Lepisosteus oculatus: one gene and its partner. The protein of the gene in region 2 purifies or fractionates together with the protein of the main gene of each other region. This does not show direct contact. Links are inferred from orthologs where the notes say so. Each region holds a gene or a part of one and is shown on either strand. Other genes may lie near its edges.

The links.
Region 1: the proteins of epn1a (region 2) and phgdh purify together in Homo sapiens (affinity purification with mass spectrometry; 3 studies listed by BioGRID and IntAct, with this or other methods). This does not show direct contact. The link is inferred for Lepisosteus oculatus from reciprocal best matches to the Homo sapiens genes EPN1 and PHGDH.

The regions. Positions count from the first base shown.
Region 1 is NC_090707.1:15,882,818-15,894,091, forward strand, and holds the start of phgdh (D-3-phosphoglycerate dehydrogenase), read left to right. Parts: upstream 1-5,625; 5' UTR 5,626-6,152; coding exon 6,153-6,290; intron 6,291-7,533; coding exon 7,534-7,685; intron 7,686-7,921; coding exon 7,922-7,987; intron 7,988-8,210; coding exon 8,211-8,265; intron 8,266-9,049; coding exon 9,050-9,148; intron 9,149-9,348; coding exon 9,349-9,481; intron 9,482-9,952; coding exon 9,953-10,101; intron 10,102-11,000; coding exon 11,001-11,153; intron 11,154-11,274. Other genes in the region: cfap210 (cilia- and flagella- associated protein 210), read right to left, coding at 31-204, 780-991, 1,250-1,316; pyridoxal phosphate phosphatase PHOSPHO2, read left to right, coding at 2,246-2,968. UniProt on the Homo sapiens protein: Catalyzes the reversible oxidation of 3-phospho-D-glycerate to 3-phosphonooxypyruvate, the first step of the phosphorylated L-serine biosynthesis pathway.
Region 2 is NC_090718.1:1,391,727-1,403,872, forward strand, and holds the start of epn1a (epsin-1), read left to right. Parts: upstream 1-6,903; 5' UTR 6,904-7,211; intron 7,212-9,334; 5' UTR 9,335-9,476; intron 9,477-9,584; 5' UTR 9,585-9,617; coding exon 9,618-9,686; intron 9,687-9,939; coding exon 9,940-10,098; intron 10,099-10,547; coding exon 10,548-10,797; intron 10,798-11,205; coding exon 11,206-11,375; intron 11,376-12,146. Other genes in the region: uncharacterized serine/threonine-protein kinase SBK3, read right to left, coding at 1-1,037, 1,134-1,336, 1,603-1,747, 1,900-1,905. UniProt on the Homo sapiens protein: Binds to membranes enriched in phosphatidylinositol 4,5-bisphosphate (PtdIns(4,5)P2). Modifies membrane curvature and facilitates the formation of clathrin-coated invaginations. Regulates receptor-mediated endocytosis.

The DNA of each region.
Region 1 (11,274 bases), on a different chromosome or scaffold from region 2:
CACGAAGGAATGGCAAAAGAGAAAACACACATGAAATCTTTTCACTCGGTCCGTCTGGTAATACTGTTGGGACTTTGCTTTTTCAATGGCTTCCTTTCTCCTCTCAGCTTGGTACTGAGCCTCTTCCAAATCAATCTGCCTCTTCTCCTCTTCTTCAATTTCTTCTCGCAGTTTCTTGGCTTCAATCTTCTTTTGCCTTTGACCCTGCAAATCCGACCAATAAGCATAGGTGTTACGATAAAGCCTTCTTAAGAGCAAACTTTAAACTTCATATATTCCAGCAGATTTGAGGATACATCCAATGATACTGCACATCATTTCCAATTCTATAAATATGAGGCTGATATTCCTACTCCAGCAGTTTGGGGAACATGAGGATACACATAAGAAGAGGCATATTTAGCCCTCTTGATTGTTTTGTGCTGTAATTCCTCTCACATCCATCCAATACAGGGCTCGTGGGGCAGCTGAAGCCTAACCTGGCAAGCAACAGGCACAAGACAGGACACACCCTGGATGTGCTGCCAGTCCATTGCAGGGCAAACACACACAGACAATTTTTTTCCAGGCCAATTTGTCCCAGAAGCCAATTAACTTAGCAGTATGGTATGGATTTGGACTGTGGGAGGAAACCCAAGTGAATACAAACTCCACAAAGACAGCAGCCCAGCAGGAACTGAACCCAGGGTCTCAGCACTGTAGGGCCACAATGCTAAATCACTGAGGGGTGTCACTTCTTGTAAGCAGATCACAATAAAGACACACGTCAGGTGACTCACAGCAATGGTATTAGACCAGTTTTTCACCACTTCTTTGGAGCGCTGGTGCAGAGCCTCTCGCTCCTTCTTCCTCTCCTGGATCAGTTCCAGCTCCCTGTTCACGCTGTGGAGGCTGTCTTGAATCCTGAGCCACTCCGCTTTGGGCAAAACCTTGACTTGGCGGAGATCCGGGAGACGCACGGGCAGATCTGCCCCATCTCTTGTACCCAGTGCTAGAGTCAAATGATAGGAAGGCTGTCAGATGCCAAGATTTTACTTACCTTCCTGTACAACGTTTACATGTTCACAACATGAATAGGAAATTGTATGAACTGATATTCATGCTTCTCAAGAGTCAGGAAACTTTTTTTTTTAATTCGTGTGAAAAAAATATAAGACAGACAGGCATCTTAACCTTTTCAGAAGTAGAAATACTGATCTGCAGTAGAAGCAGACTGAATTGGTTAGCTGAAAATAATCTTTTAACTCACATGTGACATTTTTGTCACTCCCTTTTCGCCTGCCGTACTGCACAACAGACGCGGAAACTGTCGCCATTCTACAACAGGTTTTGTCTCAGTTTTTTGACAACTTTAACCATTTCCCGAGAATACACCTGCATTAAAAACAAAAAACACAGACGAAAGCCAACTACTAACACCTTACACGGCGACCTAGCAACTGAAGACCTAATGCATTGATGACAATGTGTCGCTAGGCAACGAAGTCATAACCCAATCAGGATAAAGTCGCAGGAACAAAGGTGGAGCTATAAGACCTGGCTATAGTCACGTGAATTACTTCACCGGAAGTTTTCTGCATCCGGGTTTCCATAAACCTTGACCTACAATAAAGTAAACGTGACCAATCAGAGTGCAGAACATGTGAAAGAACCAGTGACGAATGCAACCGGCGAGCTCTTTGAGAGAAAGGTGTAGTGCGGTGATAAGCAGTATAGATGCTGCTTTAAACTGGTAATTATCGTTTTCTGTTTACTTCGAGAAACTCATTCTAAATTCCTTTATGTATCTCTTTATGGGGTTGTTTCCTAAAACCTAGCGATGTGATTTTCAAATGCTCGGGGTGTTGTCGGGGTGACACGATTAGAATGTCACGCGTTACACAACAATGTTATTTGTAGATGGAAAATAGCTTTCATTTGGGTGCGAATATTTTCAGATCTCTAGCACTGTGCTTAGAAACGTGTCAGATCGGCATGATCGCTAAAAGTGCTGAAGCATTAATGTTTTTTGATCTGTCGCCAGGTGAAAAGCTGTACTCATGGTGCCTTTATCTATATTTAGAACACTGTGTACAGATCAGGTGATATATAGGGCATAGATTTTCAAATCAAAGCAGGTCATGAAATTCTATAATATTGTATTTTTTAATGCACCCCCCAACGCATTTGCACCAAGACTTACGTTTGATTTCTGTTTTGGGAACAGGACTCTTCTCGCTTCTCGCTTCTCAGTCTGCAGCGGACGATGAAAGCTCTTGTAGTGTTCGACTTCGACCACACGGTGGTGGACGACAATAGTGACACTTGGGTGGTCAGGTGCGTGCCGGAGCAACGCCTGCCGGACTGGCTGGTAAAAACCTACCAAAAAGGTCGCTGGACTGAATACATGGGTCGGGTGTTGTCTTACATCGGTGACCTGGGTGTCAGCGAGGCGGAAATGAGGAGTCTGATGGAAACTATCCCTTTCACACACGGGATGATGGAAGTTCTTAGCTTCGTTGCTCAAAACAAAGACGCCATCGACTGCATCATCATTTCAGATTCCAACACCGTGTTCATCGACTGGATTTTACGGGCGTCCAACGTCCAGGGGGCGGTGGACAGGGTCTTCACCAACCCCGCCTGGTTCGACGAGCGCGGCCGCCTGGCGGTGCGGTGCTTCCACTCGCACGGCTGCGCGCACTGCCCGGTGAACCTGTGCAAAAGAAAAGCGCTGGAGGACTTTCTGGCGAGCCAGCTGCGCGAAGGTGTGCGGTACCGGCGCACGGTTTACGCTGGCGACGGCGGGAATGACCTCTGTCCCGCGAAGAGCCTGACGGAAGGGGACACCGTTATGCCACGAAAGGGCTACACGCTGGACAAACAGCTGGCCGCCAACGCGCGGACCCCGAGCGTCCTGAAAGCGCAAGTCGTGGTCTGGTCCAGCGGGCTTGACATCCTCAAGGAAATCAGTTCCTCTGTGAAATAGTCCTGCCATCACGCTGCTTCATTCTTTACCCCTGATGGTTGTGCCGTCGTTGATGCCGGTGGTGTTTTTTTGTTTTAACATTTGAACGTGTCACGGAAATGTCCCTAGTTGCGTTTCTGATCCCCCTGGCACTTGGCTATGGAGAACTTATTTGGTTACGCATGTACATGACATATTTACATTTCATCACATTTAGATCAGTATTAAATACAGCAACAATGCTGTACTGTTAATCTTGCAAACGAATTGAAAATCGTGTATTAACTCTCATACAGACTAGGGACGAAAGCCACGCTTCAAAGTGTATTTTGAAAGGCACACAAGTTGATCTTTTAATGAATTACAGTATAATTGTATGTTTTTCAAAATAAACAGTGCATTACGTCTTTCGTCATTGTTTTTTTTTCTCCAGTTTTCTTAGAAGTATATTTAATAAGATTTTTCCCAACTGTACAGGGTTTCCTTGTGGCGCAAATAACCAAGTGACCAATACCTGCAGAAGAATTCATAATTTAGAGTCTTCAGTGTCCCAGTTAGTGATGAGATTGCACTCAAGTGTGCGAGTGGATATAAAAGTCAAGGGAAAATTCCACAAGGGTCTTTATTTTATGTGCTCTAAAATCTTAAGAAGCACCAACAAAAGATTGATAATTGGTTAAGATGTAAATTGTAAAACATATTTAAGTGGACAAATATTCAGAAAACCCTTTAAAATGCCATTCACAATACCCTGCTTTGTTTTAACACTGAAGGTACTTATAGAGGTGATTGTAGAAGGCATCTTGAAGATCACACAGTTACATATGTGGTGCAGAGGCAGAGACATTCAAGAGAGACTTAAAATATTTTCCATTCCTTGCACTCATCTTCAGCATTTCACAGGTATGACTGCTTAGTTATGAGTCCCCCCTGTTTAGTTTGGACATTAGGTTTGTTACTCCAAAATGTGCTATGCACCGCAGACAAATGTGTTCTTTCTGCTTGCCTTAAAGAAAATGAAATTACCAGTCATGTGCCATTGGAATTGAATGCACATGGAGGGCATGTGCCTTTTGTAACGTCTGACGAAGGTTTCTTTCATCCATTCTTCACTGCACTTGGCCTCGTAGTACAAAGTATCTTTTTATTTTGTACCTGGAATTGCACTTTTTTTGTGACTCCTTGTTGTAGTGCTGGTATATGACTGTGTTGTGACTATATACCTGTAGTACATCAGCCAGAGTTGCACTTTAAAGTTATGTTGTTTTCCCCTATATACCTGAATTTGACAGAATTGTGGAACCAGATCTTGAACTAATGAGTTTGATGGAGTTCAAGTAGGTGGCTGCGTCAGCATGTGTAGGCTGCAAAGGAACAAGTAAAGGTTTTTTTTTTCCATGCTGAAAAGAGAAGAAAATAAAGACAATGTTTTTGCCACACACTTGAAGAAGGCTCCAGAGCCAAAACGTATTTCTTTTCTTCTCTTTTCAGCATGGAATAGAATTTTACTTGTTCCTAATGAGTTTAATTGCTTTCCTCGTGTTGCACACCATAGATAATTTTATTTGATGTTCTATTTATGTTTCTATATGGTACTGTTGTTCATTTGGTCCAGTAACCCCTGATCCCCTTTTGTGCACATATGTTGATTACCTTTGGTTGAATAAATGAAATTACTCTCACATGGGAATTCTTGTTTTCCTTCTTAGTACTCTTATGTCTCTGTGGCTATGCTAAGCTAAACCCCTGTATATATTCTAAACTCCTAATGTCATTGAGGGACAGAATCTTTATGTTCTTTAAGAAAGTTTACAAATAGAAGGAGATCATTCAGCTCATCTGGCCAAATTTGGTAGCTCATTGATCCGAGTGTCTCATACAGCTCTTTCTTGAAAGAGGCCAGGGTAAGGGCATCTATTACATGGCTGGGCAACCTACAGTAAGTCATCAACAGAAGATCTTTCAAAAGTGCTAACTGGAGCCCCAGTGCAGTCAGTCTTATAGGTCACCTGTTTTTAAAAGCTGGGATCACCAGTGAACTATCGACAAATCGAGCACGCGCTGTAATCTGAGAACTCTGGTCCTCAAGGGCTAAAGACTTTAGGCCTAAACGATCTCTTATTTTTTCACATCAGCCATTTTAAGCGCTTCGAGAAGCCACCTTTGAAGACGCTACATAAAGTGTATATTTATTTAGTTGATCAAGCTGATCCTCCTCCTCTCCACTCTTTCCCACTCCATCCACTGCCCCTTCTCGGCCTGAGAGACAGCCCTGGGGCACCTGGAGGCCTCCTCCTGATAGCACCCTTCTTTTACGACCAGACTCCATTGTGACGATGGTGAAGACTTGTGCCAGGCGAATCTTTTAGCTCTTAGACCTAAGCCCCCCTCTTCCCTGCTGTGTTTGCCCCACGATGTCCTTGTGCCTAGGGGGTGCCGTTGCCTGCACACGGTCCCATTGCTGATGTGGGTGCTGCATTCTTTATCACATCCCTCAACTCCGTCGGCATCACCCCATTTGTCATTTGTTGCATCAGTATTCCTCTGTGAAGCTGGGGAGTGGTAATTTAAGCACTCAGTTCCCACAGAGCCCTGTGCTGCTTTCTCATATAAAACACTAGTTAGACCTGACCTGACTTGTGATAGTGTTTAGTTGTGCAACCACATCACGGTCCCGGTCTGACCAGAATAATGCAGCAGACCAAAGCACTGGAATGTATCACAACGGCGTCGCGAATGATCAAGTCATGAAAACGACGCCAGAGACATTTAGTCAATTAATGTACGTTTTATTTTTTTTCTAAAAACAACTCATGCGTAGCGGAGTACTATGGAAATACACGGTATAGAGTGTACATGTACAGTATAGGAGGGTCAAAATCGCTTGAAAAAAAAGATTTTTAAAACAATGCAAAAGGGGAGCAATTGAAATTACAACTTAAGTTCAAACAAAATGCTATTAATGACGAATTCCCCAAAACGTCCCCGAGTTGTTGTTTTTTTTTTGGGAAAACTCACATCTTTGGCTTTGCTCCAGCAGAAGCTTGAAGAGGCGGGGCTGTTCACAGTCATAAGGGGGCAGTCCGTGCTTGAAATGTAAAAAGAACTGGGACAATTCTGAAGGTCCCCCTTCTCCGCATCAAGTTACAGAAAGAGTCCATTCATTTGTGAAGCCTTGTCTCTCCAGCTCTGACGGTGCTGCAAAATGGCTCTTGTGTCCATCCAACGGCTTTTAATTAGCGAGAGTGTCGATCCATGTTGCAAACAGATTTTGCAAGAAAATGGAATTGATGTGACAGCGAAACAGAATATGAGCAAGGAGGAACTGATCGCTGAAATCAAGGTAGGAGCAGAATGAAATCTCAAGGGTGCGTGGCATCCCGGCATGTAATGCAAGACCGGGAGTACATTTTGTTTTGTTTTAATGCAAATATATTTATTCACGAAGCTCAATTCATCTTAATAAATTATTGATTTATTATTGAACGTGTCTGTTTTAAGACAACGAAAAATAACCAAATCGTGTGTTTTGGGGATGTATTAATAAAAAGAATTAGAGGTAAAATTTACTTTTCTAATACCGATGACCAAGTTTTGAAAAATGACGCAACGGATTTGCTCCGGCTGTTGTCGTGAATTTGGCACTGTTGGATTCCCAATTCAAGTCCCAAAGCTCTTTTTATAAAGTTAATTCCAAGTTGCTAGGAAGCGCCGCCTTCATCATGTTTTCTGATGCAACAGCACCTGTGTGTTTCAGCTCCCTAAACTCTGGTCATGCCACATTTGTAACAGTAATGCAAAAGATTTTTAACAGTAATACAAAATATTTTATACGCTATTTTTTTTATTTTCAATGTTTGCTTTAAGGTTTTACAGTATAATAAAAAATAATTACAATCTTTCTAAACTACAGTTAGATTAGTTTTTATTTTTGTACTTCGTTAATGTTAATGTATACCAATTAATTCTGGATTGTTATAAATCATAAAATGGCTTTGCAAAGTTTTGCATTTTTAATGCAGTGCTCTGTTAATTAAGGCACTAATTAACAGTTTTTAGCTGTGATTGGAGCCACTATTGGCACCGTTGACGGTGACCGTTATGTTGCGCTCAGTGGTTTCGCGTCAGGTGATTGGTTTGGCTTGACCACTGCAAAACTGTAAGGACATGTGTTGTTGGGGTTTTTTTGCGTGTGGGGGGTCTGCATAGGTGCACTAGACAGGTGATATGGTTACAAATGTGTTCAGTTGTTGAGTTTCAGCTGTATTTTGTAAATACAGTCTTGCTTTGTCAGGTGACTGTTCTACAGAAGGATCTACAGAACCAGATAGTGACTGAAATCCCCTCATCCAGCATCGGGGACTGTTTTTTTTATACACTCCATATTAAATCTCAACTTCTACTAGGTTCTGAATTCAAAATGATCACTTATTGCATTTTATTCTAAAGCAACGCTCACGGCAATGTTTAAAAGTTGTGCTCCTGGGATTTAATTAACCCAGACTTAATTAGGGTTACTGCAGTTTAAAGAATCTTAGAATTAGTGTTCTTTTTTTCATTACCTTGAACATGTTTTCTTTCTTCAGGACTATGAAGGGCTGATAGTTCGTTCGGCGACAAAAGTGACAGCAGAAGTCATCAACGCCGCGAGCAAACTGAAGATTATCGGCAGGGCTGGGACTGGTGTCGACAACGTGGACGTAGACGCTGCTACTAAGAAGGGCATTATTGTCATGAAGTAAGAAAAACATCTGTGTTAGCGCCGACTGCTACGTTTACTGCAATTTATGTAGAATACACGTCAGCTGCATGGTGATTTGGAAATACGCGTTTCTACGTTTGCTTGAGATAATTTGCCTTTCCTTTTCATTTAGTAGCATATGAAAATATTCCCTAATTTGTTCCTGATTTTTGTGAAATTCTATGCAATTTGAGTATGAGATATTTCACAATCCTGACTTGCTGTTTCTTCAGTACCCCTAGCGGAAACACCATCAGTGCTGCAGAACTCACCTGTGGGATGGTGATGTGTCTTTCCAGGTGAGACACACATGTGCTTTACCATATTTTCGTTTTTTTTGTAGTGCACAGCTTTGCTGAAGCAAAGTTGAATGCCTTATGTGGAACACTGGAGGACATTAAATGGACTTTCAAGAGTCCTTTGAATCCAGTATCCATTGATATAAATGAACAAACTTAAAGCATTTTCTTGCAGTATAAGGTATACATATCAAAAGGTAACTTAGAAATATTCCTTTTCCAGACACATCCCACAGGCAGCTATGTCCATGAAATCTGGGAACTGGGACCGTAAGAAGGTAAGCTTGGAATGACAGATTGAGATGAGATTGTTTTTCATGCAGAATGTTTTCTAATGCTTGGGCTCCCATGATACCCATTCAATCATGGGAGTTAGAACAGTTATAACAAGAGGAGGCCATTCAGCCATTCAGCCAATTTGGTAGCTGGTAGCTAACTGGTGCAAGAATCTCTTCTGGCTGTTTCTTGAAAGAAACCACATTCATTAACAACATGACTGGGCAACTTGTTCCACACTCCCACAACCCTTTGGGTAAAGCCGCGCCTCCTGTTCACAGTAAATGCAGGTAGTTTCTGCTTCTGTCCTCTGGTATGCATTTCACTGTTCACATTCAGCTGGACTGGCTTTGTCAGGGCCTCTGAGGATACTGAACACTTGTATCAGGTCTCCTTGTTGACTCCTTTGTTCAAGACTGTTCACTGTAGGACCATAAACTCCAGAATGTTTCTGGTTTGCTCTTCTTTGCACTGATTTCAGAGCAACAGTACTGCACCTTTTCTAAAATGTATTGACCAAAGTCGTACACTAACAGAGGCCTTACTAGTTTGATTACAATTTTAGACTTTTAAGAATATAGTCTTGCATTTTTTTTACCATTTTACTTGCTTTTACCACAGTGTCTAGAAGAATCACGTGAGGTGTCAGCATAACCTCCTGTTTTGTTCTCATAGGTTGCCTCTTCTAGCTCAGTATTTCCAACTGTGTATTTTTAGTTCGTGTTTAGAGTTCCTGGACCGTAGTGTCTTTGACGGGATTGTTGTGTTGTTGTGATATTTTCACAGTTTATGGGCTCCGAGCTGTATGGAAAAACCCTTGGAATTGTTGGCCTTGGAAGAATTGGAAAGGAAGTGGCCCTTCGAATGCAGTCTTTTGGCATGAAGGTCGATTTATTTTTTTAATCTGTTTTCGTGTGATATCCATTGTAGAGGCAAATGTACAGCTGCTGCTGCTTTTACAACATTGAAAGTGAAATGTAATGTGTTCTGGTACTGCGCGTAATGTTTTTTTCCCCCAAGTTTCGTTGTGATAGCTATCGCTTAAGAAGGGCTTGTTTTGAATTACCGCATTTTTGTGTCGGTAGACTGTTGGCTATGATCCCATCATTCCTCCAGAAGTTACTGCAACATTTGGAGTCGAGCAGATGTCCCTGGAGCAGCTGTGGCCTCTTTGTGACTATATCACAGTGCACACACCATTAATGCCTTCTACCACTGGTGAGTTTGTATGTAGATGATCCTATGTGCGCAACAGTGTCTGTCATTAAGGACAGAGAATTCTATGTTTGAAATGAATCCAACGTCTTTTGCTTTTCAATTCCTCTGAATCTTGCCTCAGTAACTGGCAAGTAAAATGATTTGTTTGAAGAGGGGCTAGAAAACGATTTAAAAACAAAATACGCTTCTCTGACAAGACGAGAACAATTAATTAGTTGGGTATATTTGTCCAAGAAGGAATAATCATTGTTGTTTTTTTCATATAATTCTGCTTTTTAAAGTATCAGGTTTTTTTCTTGCAGACATTCTCTTTCTTTTTAAAAAATGTAAATATTTAGAATTTACCCTAACTGATGAGCAGGTGATTTAAGTATGTGTGGAGATCTCTGTTTCAGTCTGCAGACATGGGATAAACAAAAGAGCGATGTGTGCTAAGATGAGGTGATTAACTGTTGTCTTCATTCACCCGAGGGCTCTTAAATGACACCACCTTTGCGAGGTGCAAGAAAGGTGTGAAGGTGGTTAACTGTGCCCGCGGGGGCATTATTGATGAAGGAGCCCTTTTGCGTGCCCTGGAGTCTGGCCAGTGTGGGGGTGCAGGCCTGGATGTGTTTGTGGACGTGAGTATCATACTGCAGTGCCATCAAGGGTCAAAACAGAGAAACTGGGACTGTTTCAGATAACAATAATAATAATGATTCCTTGCACTTATATAGCGCTCTTCTGGACACTCCACTCAAAGCGCTTTACTGGTAATGGGGACTCCCCTGATACCCCTAATTTTTCACAGAGAGGCTGGATGAGATCCTTGGACCAGTTAGCTGCTAACTACTTGAGTTTGTTTGGGCTAGGTGGTCCAAACAGCCTGCTCACAAACACAACATCTTATTATCTCATGAGTTTATATATCCAGATTTATTATATTTTCATTTGAAACATTGCAGTTTGACGTGATATAAGAATGTGAATCCCTACAGAATATATTAAACATCTTAAAATATTTGATTCTATTCATACCTACAGTGTTTTTATCTTTGTAATTCATTATCATTATTTGCTAAAGAAAGTATATACCACCTACTGGTTACGTAAAGTGATGAAACACATTAATTGGTCCACAAATATAAAAGTCAGAGAAATTATATATTTTTATTCTGGTTAAATATTTTGTGGATTTTCAGATTCTAATATCTTCCATTAGTGGTACAGTATTTTGCCATTTGGGAGAAGCAGTCTTTCGAGAGGAAAATCCCCCCAGTGCTTCATTCAGTTCGGGCTCACAGGGAAGCAACAGGCTCAGTGTCCATCACAGGGCACATGCAGTCGTTCTCAGAAACCCCTGTTAACCCAGGCAACATGCAGACTCCCCACAGATAGATCCCCAGATCTGTAATTGAACCCAGAGCTCTAGCGCTGCAAGGCAGCAGTGCTAACTGCTTCCCCATCGTGCTGCACTTCCAGAGGGGAATGGGAAAAATTAACTTTGCCACGTGTCTCCTTTCTCTTTTCTGGTATCCAGGAGCCTCCTAAGGACCGGTCACTGATAAACCATCCCAATGTGATCAGCTGCCCACACCTGGGGGCCAGCACCAAGGAGGCACAGGCCCGCTGTGGGCAGGACATCGCCGTCCAGATTGTCGACATGCTGAAGGGAAAGGCCTTAACTGGAGCGGTGAGTGCTCTGTTTTAGTCAACTGATCACCACAGGGCTGTCTGGTCCTGTCCGGTCCTGGAGGGCCAGTGTGTCTGCAGGTTTTCTAGCTGAGAGAAGCTGTTATGTTGGTCCTGAGAAG
Region 2 (12,146 bases):
ACCTCTCCCTCCTGCCCCCCAGCTTCCTTCTCCCCGCCCTCCCTGGTCCCCTGCTCCGGCGCACCCCTGCCTCTCAGCCAGGGCTCCCCCAGAAACCTCTCGGCCTCGCCGGGCAGCCCCCTGCGTCTGGGGTCGGGGTTCAGCAGCTCGCGGAAGAGGGCCAGAGCCAGAGGCGTGAAGCCGACGAACTGCGGGGGGACGATTTCGATTTCGGGGTCCCCCCGCCGCCGGCCCCGCTCCCCCCCCACCTCCGTCGCAGGGAGGCCCCCGACTGGGGTGGAGCTGTCGGCCCGTTTCTCCGCCGCTGACGGGTTGTAAAATCGGCCCCCCGGGGACGCCCTCTCCCTGCCCCCCCCCTCCTCGGCCTCGAACCAGCGGCGGTAGCGCCGGTACAGGGGGTCCGAGGCGCAGGTCTGCTCCCAGGGAAAGCAGCCAGTCAGCAGACAGTACACCAGCACCCCCAGAGCCCAGCTGTCGACGGTGGGCTCCGCCGTCGCCCACTCCTTCTTCGCCCTCGTCTTCCTCCTCCCTTCCTCTTCCTCTCTCGCGCCCTCTGCCGGCGGCGCGGCGCCCGGCCCCGTCTCGGCCTCAGCCTCTTCCGTGTCCTTTTCCGGCAGGGAGGATCTGGGATCCTCGTTCCCTCTCGCGCCCCCTCTGCCCCTGTCCCCGCCTCTCCCTCTCGCCATTGGCCGGTCTCCGCCCCGCCCCTCCTCCGGCTCCGCCCCCTCCCCTCTCCTCCTGCATCTCATTGGGCGGCCACGCCCCCTCCCGCCCGCTGCCCCCTCCTCTGGCCCGGCCTCGCCGCTCAGTTCGGGGGCACAGTAAGGGGAAGGGTGGGCCGTCCTCATGAACTTCGACCCCCGGGGGCGGGCCAGGCCAAAGTCGCCGAGCTTGACCAGGCGGCACTCGGGCCCGTCGCACAGGAAGACGTTCTCGGGCTTGACGTCCCGGTGGACGAAGCCCAGGGCGTGGAGGTAGGCCAGGGCCTGGGCCAGCTGGGACAGGACGCGCTGGGCGCACTCCTCCTGCACCCCGACCTGCGGGAGGGACGGGAGATGGGGGGTTCAGTGAAGGGGGGCGCCCCGGGGACGGCTCGCCGCGGGGCCGCGGGGAGGCGAGCGCGGGGGACGCACCTCGGGGACGATGATGTCGTACAGGTCCCCGAACAGCGCTGCCTGCTGGGCGAAGACGTAGAGGCGCGGCGTGGTGAACACGATGCCCAGCGCGCCCGCCAGGCAGGGGTGGGAGCAGAGCCGCAGGGACAGGCAGTACTCCCGCAGGAACACCGGCAGGGGCGTGGAGCTCCGCGGGAACAGCTTCAGAGCCATGGGGGTCCCTGAGACACCACACAGGGTCAATACAGCAACAAGCTGACCAGCTGGACACTGACTGACCAACTGGACACTACAGCACAGTGACCCTGACTGACTGGACACTACAGCACAGAGACCCTGACTGACTGACTGGACACTACAGCACAGAGACACTGACTGACTGGACACTACAGCACAGTGACCCTGACTGACTGACTGGACACTACAGCACAGAGACACTGACTGACTGGACACTACAGCACAGTGACCCTGACTGGACACAGCTCACCTCTCTGCCTGTGAATGGCCAGCATGACCTTCCCGTATGACCCCTGACCCAGCTGCTTCACGACCCGGAAGTGATCCGCTATCTCCAGCGATGCCATGGACTGGGCAGTGAGCTGGCACAGCTCCTCCAGTTTGTCTGCAGCTGACTGAGGAAGAGGAGGAGGACGAAGAGCGAGAGGCCGGTGAGAAAGAGCGCCCCCTCGTTTTCTGAAGGCTTAGCGGGGGAATTGCAGCTCAGCCAATAGTTACTGGAACCCGCAAAAATGTACTGAAAATGAACGAAAGGAAAAAGACTTACTGACATTGTGAAGAGTCTTCAGACAACCATGGGCACCGGATCAGAGCCTGTCTGTCTCTCTCTCCTGTCTGTGTATGTGCCTGACTCTCTCTGTGTCTGCCTGTCTGTTTCTCTTGTCTCTATGAAACTAGTTGTTTACTGAATTTGAAGACACAGATCTGTGTCTGTATTTATTTCTGTTTTTTCCCAATTCCCCCGTCTACACGCCTAACTCTCTCCCCGATCAGACTGTCCCTCTCTCTGTCCCTGCTCTGTCTGAGACTGTCTGTCCCTGTCCTTTCTCTGAGAATCTATGTCCCTCTTCTTTCTCTGAGACTCACTGTCCCTGCTCAGTCTGAGACTCTCTGTCCCTGCTCTGTCTCTGAGACTCTCTGTCCCTGCTCTGTCTGAGACTCTCTGTCCCTGCTCAGTCTGAGACTCTCTGTCCCTGCTCTGTCTGAGACTCTCTGTCCCTGCTCTGTCTGAGACTCTCTGTCCCTGCTCAGTCTGAGACTCTCTGTCCCTGCTCAGTCTGAGACTCTCTGTCCCTGCTCTGTCTCTGAGACTCTCTGTCCCTGCTCTGTCTCTGAGACTCTCTGTCCCTGCTCAGTCTGAGACTCTCTGTCCCTGCTCTGTCTCTGAGACTCTCTGTCCCTGCTCAGTCTGAGACTCTCTATCCCTGCTCTGTCTCTGAGACTCTCTGTCCCTGCTCAGTCTGAGACTCTCTGTCCCTGCTCTGTCTGAGACTCTCTGTCCCTGCCCTGTCTCCTGGACTCTGTCTCTCTCTCTCTGCAGCTGTGAGGCTGTGCTCTCTCCCTCTGGCTCTGCAGTCTCTCTGTCAGCAGCCGCTGGCTGTGAGCTGTCGCGTGCCCCAGCCTCTCTCTCCTCGGCTCGCCGGAGATATTGTCCGGCTCTGTCCCTCCTGCCGGAGCCCCTGTCAGCCAGCCTGAGGGATTGAGCTGTGTTTCAATCAGCAGGAGCAGGGAATCTTAATTAGATAACAACATGTGCTAATTAACATGCTTGGGTGACACGAGTGTGTGTCATATTTCACCCTCTCCACCACACGCCCCCCTCTCTCTCCGCTGGCTCTCGGAGTGCTGTTTGTGTGTGATAATGCCCACTCTGACTCAAAGTGCCTCTCTCTCCCTGCCCCCCCGATCTCTCCCTGCCCCCCCGATCTCTCTCTCTCTGCCCCCCCGATCTCTCGCTCTCTGCACCCCCGATCTCTCCCTGCCCCCTGATCTCTCTCTCTCCGCCCCCCCTAATCTTTCTCCCTGTCCCCCTGATCCTTCTCTCTCTGCCCCCTGATCTCTCTCCCTGTCCCCCTGATCTCTCTCCCTGTCCCCCCGATCCCTCAGACCCTGGCCCCCGATCTCTCTCTCTCTGCCCCCCCTAATCTTTCTCCCTGCCCCCCTGATCTCTCTCTCTCTGCCCCCCGATCTCTATCCCTGCCCCCTGATCCTTCTCTCTCTGCCCCCCCAATCTCTCCCTGCCCCCCTGATCTCTCAGCCCCCCGATCTCTCTCCCTGTCCCCCCGATCTCTCTCCCTGGCCCCCCGATCTCTCTCCCTGGCCCCCCGATCTCTCTCCCTGCCCCCCTCGCCCCCCCGATCTTTCAGCACAGCGTTACTCGTTGACAGCCGTAACAGCTGGGGGCCTCTGCCAGCCATCGCCATGCCAACACAACACATGAGGTCATCTCTCTCCGACATCGCCATGCCAACACAACACATGAGGTCATCTGCCCCCGACATCGCCATGCCAACACAACACACGAGGTCCTCTCAGCGCCTCCGCGGCCCCGCTAGCGCTCCCCGGAGGAGCAGGCGAGGCAGCAGGCGCTTGGCGGGAATGACTGCTGGGACAGACGCTCCGCTTGCACAGCGAGGCTCCGGCTGGGACCGGGAACCTCTTCATGGACAGAAAGGCTCCAGCTGGACGCTCTGCTTCTCGCTCTCGGCAGCCAGCCTGCAGCCTGGAGACACATCCCATCAGTCAGCAGGATCGCCGCAGTGATGAGAAGGTTTCAGACTCCAGGTGTGTGTGTGTATACAGTGTGTCCAGTAAGAGTCTGGACTCCAGGTGTGTGTGTGTGTATACAGTGTGTCCAGTAAGAGTCTGGACTCCAGGTGTGTGTGTGTATACAGTGTGTCCAGTAAGAGTCTGGACTCCAGGTGTGTGTGTGTGTACAGTGTGTCCAGTAAGAGTCTGGACTCCAGGTGTGTGTGTGTGTGTATACAGTGTGTCCAGTAAGAGTCTGGACTCCAGGTGTGTGTGTGTGTATACAGTGTGTCCAGTAAGAGTCCGGACTCCAGGTGTGTGTGTGTGTATACAGTGTGTCCAGTAAGAGTCTGGACTCCAGGTGTGTGTGTGTGAGTATACAGTGTGTCCAGTAAGAGTCCGGACTCCAGGTGTGTGTGTGTGTATACAGTGTGTCCAGTAAGAGTCTGGACTCCAGGTGTGTGTGTGTGTGTATACAGTGTGTCCAGTAAGAGTCTGGACTCCAGGTGTGTGTGTGTGTATATACAGTGTGTCCAGTAAGAGTCTGGACTCCAGGTGTGTGTGTGTATACAGTGTGTCCAGTAAGAGTCTGGACTCCAGGTGTGTGTGTGTGTGTATACAGTGTGTCCAGTAAGAGTCTGGACTCCAGGTGTGTGTGTGTGTATATACAGTGTGTCCAGTAAGAGTCTGGACTCCAGGTGTGTGTGTGTGTATACAGTGTGTCCAGTAAGAGTCCGGACTCCAGGTGTGTGTGTGTGTATACAGTGTGTCCAGTAAGAGTCTGGACTCCAGGTGTGTGTGTGTGAGTATACAGTGTGTCCAGTAAGAGTCCGGACTCCAGGTGTGTGTGTGTGTATACAGTGTGTCCAGTAAGAGTCTGGACTCCAGGTGTGTGTGGGTGTGTATACAGTGTGTCCAGTAAGAGTCTGGACTCCAGGTGTGTTTGTGTGTATACAGTGTGTCCAGTAAGAGTCTGGACTCCAGGTGTGTGTGTGTATACAGTGTGTCCAGTAAGAGTCTGGACTCCAGGTGTGTGTGTATATACAGTGTGTCCAGTAAGAGTCTGGACTCCAGGTGTGTGTGTGTATACAGTGTGTCCAATAAGAGTCTGGACTCCAGGTGTGTGTGTGTATACAGTGTGTCCAGTAAGAGTCTGGACTACAGGTGTGTGTGTGTATACAGTGTGTCCAATAAGAGTCTGGACTCCAGGTGTGTGTGTGTATACAGTGTGTCCAGTAAGAGTCTGGACTCCAGGTGTGTGTGTATACAGTGTGTCCAGTAAGAGTCTGGACTCCAGGTGTGTGTGTGTATATACAGTGTGTCCAGTAAGAGTCTGGACTCCAGGTGTGTGTGTGTATACAGTGTGTCCAGTAAGAGTCTGGACTCCTGGTGTGTGTGTATACAGTGTGTCCAGTAAGAGACTGGACTCCAGGTGTGTGTGTATACAGTGTGTTCAGTGAGAGTCTGGACTCCAGGTGTGTGTGTGTGTATACAGTGTGTCCAGTAAGAGTCTGGATTCCAGGTGTGTGTGTGTGTATACAGTGTGTCCAGTAAGAGTCTGGACTCCTGGTGTGTGTGTGTGTATACAGTGTGTCCAGTAAGAGTCTGGACTCCAGGTGTGTGTGTGTATACAGTGTGTCCAGTAAGAGTCTGGACTCCAGGTGTGTGTGTGTATACAGTGTGTCCAGTAAGAGTCTGGACTCCAGGTGTGTGTGTGTGTATATATACAGTGTGTCCAGTAAGAGTCTGGACTCCAGGTGTGTGTGTGTGTGTATACAGTGTGTCCAGTAAGAGTCTGGACTCCAGGCGTGTGTGTGTGTATACAGTGTGTCCAGTAAGAGTCTGGACTCCAGGTGTGTGTGTGTGTGTATACAGTGTGTCCAGTAAGAGTCTGGACTCCAGGTGTGTGTTTATACAGTGTGTCCAGTTAGAGTCTGGACTCCAGGTGTGTGTGTGTGTATACAGTGTGTCCAGTAAGAGTCTGGACTCCAGGTGTGTGTTTATACAGTGTGTCCAGTAAGAGTCTGGACTCCAGGTGTGTGTGTGTGTATACAGTGTGTTCAGTAAGACTCTGGGCTCCAGGTGTGTTTATACAGTGCCTCTAGTGGTGGCTTTTGTGAATAACAGTTGCACTTAAAACAGACCATCTTTTACTTTGTAACTCTTCTGTGTATCAGTTTTGTAAATGAAAAATTCTCCATAAGAAGGCATATTGTCTTTATTGTTAAACTCATGGTTTCCCTCAAACAGTTAGCTGTTTTAAAACAAGTAAACTCTCTCCATGTCAATGTTTTCTGATTCATGGTTGTGTTCGGTATGGCAACAGTCTATAATCTAATAGTATAATCTAGTAGTGTATTGTAAGTAATACATGAGCCCTGCAGACTGTTCCATAGATAGGAATTGGAAGTATATGGTTGTATGTTACTTGAACATCCTTGAATTGTACCTGATAAACATTGCATTATTATAAACACTACCCAGTTTATGCTCCACCTGTATCAGGCAGGGTGTATACAGTGTGTCCAATAAGTGCAGGGTGTAGCCTGCTGTACATCGACCCTCTCGTTATCAGTTAAATACTTCAGCATACTTCAGTTTACAGCACACGAGTGCAATGTCAATAATATGCAGCATAAGAGCTAGCTGATCTCTACACTACAGTATAAGAGCTCACTGATCTCTACACTACACAGTATAAGAGCTAACTTACAGTATAAGAGCCAGCTAATGTTTATACTAAACAGTATACGAGATCCCTGATATCTTAACGATTCAGTTTTAGAGCCAGCCGATGTCAGGATGATGCAGTATAAGGGCTACAGGATCTCTGCATTATACAGCACAAGAGCTACAAGTTGTCTATATTATTCAATGTAAGAGCTAGCTCATGTGCGTCCTGTGCAGTCTAAGAGCAAGCTGGTGTGTACGATCTACAGCAGAGGAGCTCTTAGATGGCAGAAGCATGTCTGCCCTACACGGTGATCTACGCGTCCACCCCTCCCTGGGCAGCCGGCCCCGCCCACCCGGGGGGCACGTGAGGCAGGGGGCGGAAGCGGAAGCGGAAGTGGCGCCATCTTGCCGTTCCCAGCGAAGTGGGGCTTGGAAGGGTCAGTTCCGATCCGAGCCGCGATAAAAGCAGAGCGGCGGCGCTTGCCCGGGGTGTCAGCGATCAGGCCGCACGGCAGCGGGGACCGCTGGGCTCCGTCACGCCCGAGGGGAGAGGAGTGGATGTCGCGTCCCGCCCGTCCCGCCGCCCCCCTGTGGATCTTCTCGCTCCTGACGCGCGGCTCCATGGCGCAGCGCGGCTGAGGCGCCCGGCGGGGACAGGTAAGCGGGCGCGGGGGTGTCGGGGGGCGCCCTGCTCCGTCACCGTGCGGGAGAGGGGGGCAGAGACTCGGGGAGGTGGGGGCGGCAATGGGCGCGCGTGCGTGTGCGTGCCTCGGCGCGAGGGAGCCGCTGGGCGCGTGCACGTGTCAGGGCGAGAGACTCTCCGGTCATGGGGCTTTTGGGAAATCGGTCCATCCCCGCCCCGATTCGGGAAGCAGTGTTTTGGGGTGCCGGGGCTTCCCAGCAGAGACGCCTGCAGGGTCACAGGGGCGTCCTGTCTGATCGTGCAGGATCGGCACACAGATCCGGGATTGTAACAACACCGTCACACCTGGAGCGGATCAGACTGCTGCACACTGGGACTGTAACAACACTGTCACACCTGGAGTGGATCAGACTGTTACACACTGGGACTGTAACAACACCGTCACACCTGGAGCGGATCAGACTGCTGCACACTGGGACTGTAACAACACTGTCACACCTGGAGCGGATCAGACTGCTGCACACTGGGACTGTAACAACACTAACACCTGGAGCGGATCAGACTGCTGCGCACTGGGACTGAAACAACACCGCCACACCTGGAGCGGATCAGACTGCTACACACTGGGACTGTAACAACACCGTCACACCTGGAGCGGATCAGACTGCTACACACTGGGACTGAAACAACACCGGGACACCTGGAGCGGATCAGACTGCTGCGCACTGGGACTGTAACAACACCGGGACACCTGGAGCGGATCAGACTGCTGCACACTGGGACTGTAACAACACCGTCACACCTGGAGCGGATCAGACTGCTGCACACTGGGACTGTAACAACACCGCCACACCTGGAGCGGATCAGACTGCTGCACACTGGGACTGTAACAACACCGTCACACCTGGAGCGGATCAGACTGCTGCGCACTGGGACTGAAACAACACTAACACCTGGAGCGGATCAGACTGCTGCGCACTGGGACTGAAACAACACCGCCACACCTGGAGCGGATCAGACTGCTGCGCACTGGGACTGTAACAACACCGCCACACCTGGAGCGGATCAGACTGCTGCGCACTGGGACTGTAACAACACCGCCACACCTGGAGCGGATCAGACTGCTGCGCACTGGGACTGTAACAACACCGTCACACCTGGAGCGGATGAGACTGCTGCCCACTGGGACTGTAACAACACCGTCACACCTGGAGCGGATGAGACTGCTGCCCACTGGGACTGTAACAACACCGTCACACCTGGAGCGGATCAGACTGCTGCCCACTGGGACTGTAACAACACCGTCACACTTGGAGCGGATCAGACTGGTGCACACTGGGACTGTAACAACACCGTCACACTTGGAGCGGATCAGACTGCTGCCCACTGGGACTGTAACAACACCGTCACACCTGGAGCGGATCAGACTGCTGCCCACTGGGACTGTAACAACACCGTCACACCTGGAGCGGATCAGACTGGTGCCCACTGGGACTGTAACAACACCGTCACACCTGGAGCGGATCAGACTGGTGCACACTGGGACTGTAACAACACCGTCACACCTGGAGCGGATCAGACTGCTGCGCACTGGGACTGTAACAACACCGTCACACTTGGAGCGGATCAGACTGCTGCGCACTGGGACTGGAACAACACCGTCACACCTGGAGCGGATCAGACTGCTGCGCACTGGGACTGGAACAACACCGTCACACCTGGAGCGGATCAGACTGCTGCGCACTGGGACTGGAACAACACCGTCACACCTGGAGCGGATCAGACTGCTGCGCACTGGGATTGGAACAACACCGTCACACCTGGAGCGGATCAGACTGCTGCGCACTGGGACTGGAACAACACTGCAACACCTGGAGCGGATCAGACTGCTGCCCACTGGGACTGTAGGGCTGTGAAGCTGGAGAGGATCAGACTGCGGTGCAGTGGGTGGGTCGGTGTGGGTCTGGACGCTGTGCACCTCGCACTCTTGACCTGCTCTGCCCACAGTGTGAGGCTCAGGGCTCTAACTGTCACTGGGGCCTAGGCTGGCAGTGCCGGGGGGTGGGAACTACATTTCCCAGAATTTTGTAGTCCCAAACGATGGTGCGGCGCTGAATGCGGTTCCCTTCCCCTGCAGGGTTTGGTGACTTCAATTGCTTGGTTCCGGGACCAATGTCGTCGAGGCGAGAGGCCGGCAGACAGGGACACAGCGATCCGTAAACGCGTGGAGAGAGAGAGAGAGAGCGAGCGAGACAGACTGCGAGCTTCGACTTTCACAGGTGAGGATCCCCCTGACGGGAGCGGAGGAGAGAGGGAATTCACCCCCTGCGTGTCCCTGTGTGTGTGTGTGTGTCCAGGTCTCTGTCTCAGCCTGCGTCTCTCTTTAGACAGAGGCAAGGACAGACGGACAGGTGGTTGCCATGTCGACCTCATCGCTACGGCGACAAGTGAAAAACATTGTGCACAACTACTCTGAGGCCGAGATCAAGGTGAGTCTGTCTCCGTGGCGACGGTGTGGGTGGGTCAGGGGTGGGCAAAGGGGTGTGTTAGTCAGTGGCTGGGCGGTGGTGTGCCCTGGCGGTCAGGGTCTCAGCGGGGGTTCGGGTCAGCGGGTGGGTCAGTCAAGGGCTCAGTGGTTGGATCGTTCAGGGGTCAGTTGGTCAGTCGGGGTCTCAGCAGGGGGGCCAGTCAGGGGGGCAGCGGACAGGAGCTGACGTGGCACCGCCCCCCCTCCTCTCGCAGGTGCGCGAGGCGACCTCCAACGACCCCTGGGGCCCCTCCAGCTCCCTGATGTCGGAGATCGCCGACCTGACCTACAACGTGGTGGCCTTCTCGGAGATCATGAGCATGGTTTGGAAGAGGCTCAACGACCACGGCAAGAACTGGCGCCACGTCTACAAGGTGAGCAGTGTTGGGGTCCCCCCACCGGCACGGCCGCCACGCGCAGAGGGATGGGGCCAGTTCAGAGAGGGGGGTTATTAGGAGGCCGTGACGGGTAAAGACCAGGGGGAAATTTGACCAGGACACTGGGGTAACACCCCTACTCCTCTCGAGAGACGCCCCAGGATTGTTCATGACCACAGAGAGTCAGGACCTCGGTTTGACGTCTCATCCGAAGGACGGCGCCTGTTTCCAGTCTAGTGTCCCCGTCACTGTACTGGGTGAGCGCCCCCTGCTGGCCCCACTGACACCTCTCCCTGCAGCAGGCTGAGCTGTCCCAGGAGTCTCCCTGCAGGTCCTGGCCAGGCTCGCCCCGCTGGGCTCCGGGGGGGCGGTCTGGGTAGACATGAGCGAAGGGTCAGAGGTCACGGGGGCGGGGTCAGTGACGGGCCGCGCTCTCCCTCCGCCAGGCCATGACCCTGATGGAGTACCTGATCAAGACGGGCTCGGAGCGCGTGGCCCAGCAGTGCCGGGAGAACATCTACGCCGTGCAGACGCTGAAGGACTTCCAGTACGTGGACCGCGACGGCAAGGACCAGGGCGTGAACGTGCGCGAGAAGGCCAAGCAGCTGGTGGCGCTGCTCAAGGACGAGGAGCGCCTGCGCGAGGAGCGGGTCCACGCCCTCAAGACCAAGGAGAAGATGGCCCAGACCTCCAGCGGTGAGGGGACTACACGTCCCAGCATGCTCTCGGCAGCAGGCTCAGGCAGAGCCCTGCAGCATCTGGCCTGAGGCATGCTGGGAACTGTAGTTTTTGTGCACTCTTTTTCACTTAACTATATTCCGCATGAGGGTTGAGAGATGCAACTCCCAGATGGGTTCTGGTTCTTTCTTTGCGGGAGGCATACTGGGAGGAGTAGTTCGCTGGGCGAACTATGTCGCAAAGCAAAAAGTGTGGTGGCAGTAGTTTCTTGGGGAGCAGTTAGGGGGTCTGTTGTGGGGCATGCTGGGAGCTGTAGTTCGACAGACCGAATGGGAGTGTGGTTTAAGGACTGTACTGGGGAGTGAACCCCATTTCCCTCTCCCCTCTCTCTCAGCGCCTATGTTAACGCCTCCTTTTCTCCCCCAGCGTCCTCTGCTCCCTCTGCGCCAGGCCTTGGGGGCGGGCCCTCCCTGGGCCCCGCCCCCCCAGGCCCCGGAGGCGGGGCCGATCCCGAGCAGGCGTGGCCTCAGAGCTCGGGGGAGGAGGATCTGCAGCTCCAGCTGGCCCTGGCCATGAGCAAGGAGGAGGCCGAGCAGGTAGACTACACTTCCCATGGTGCTTTTCTGTGTCGGCGGGGTCACTGTCCCTTGGGTCTTCAGGCTTCCAGGACACCGAGACCTAACAAGGGAGTGCTGAATAAAGCATGCTGGGAGCTGTAGTTTTCGTGATGGCGTGTTCGGCAGAAGCAGGGCTATGGTTGACTGAGTTGCCTACAAATCCCATTATGCACTGAGCCTAAGTGCCACTTCAGGCTAAGGGTCCCTGCTGGGCACAGCTAGGAGGTGTAGTGAGATTTGAGACAGGGTGTTTGTGGGGCGTCAGTGAGAGCTGAGGTCTACCAAGCAGAATGTGTTGGGGACTATATTGTTGGCAGTTTTCACCGATCTGTTGGCACACTGCCGCCCGTGCTTCATGGTTTTGCCTGTCAGCACAGGCTTTTTCCTTGCAGATCAGGTCAATCCAAATGAAATGCCCTTCCCATGATGCCTTTCTTGGGCAGGGGGGCCTGGGAAGGGTGGGGCAGCAGCGGTGTTGGTAAGGGTGCTGGGAGCTGTAGTGAAGATGCCCCCCCTGGCCTCTGTCTGTGCAGTCGGGCCCCGCGTGTGGCCCCGAGGACACGCAGCTGGAGGTGGCTCTCTCCCTCGGCAGGGAGGAGCACCTGAAGGTCAGGGGTCAGGTCAGGGGTCGCGGAGAGAGTCCTGATGACACGCAGTCGCTTCCGCTGGGTCGCCCTGGACAGGGTCTTGCGAATCCTCAGTCAGGACCGTGCAGTGAAGCCGGCGCTGTCCCGCTGGTCTCGAGCAGGA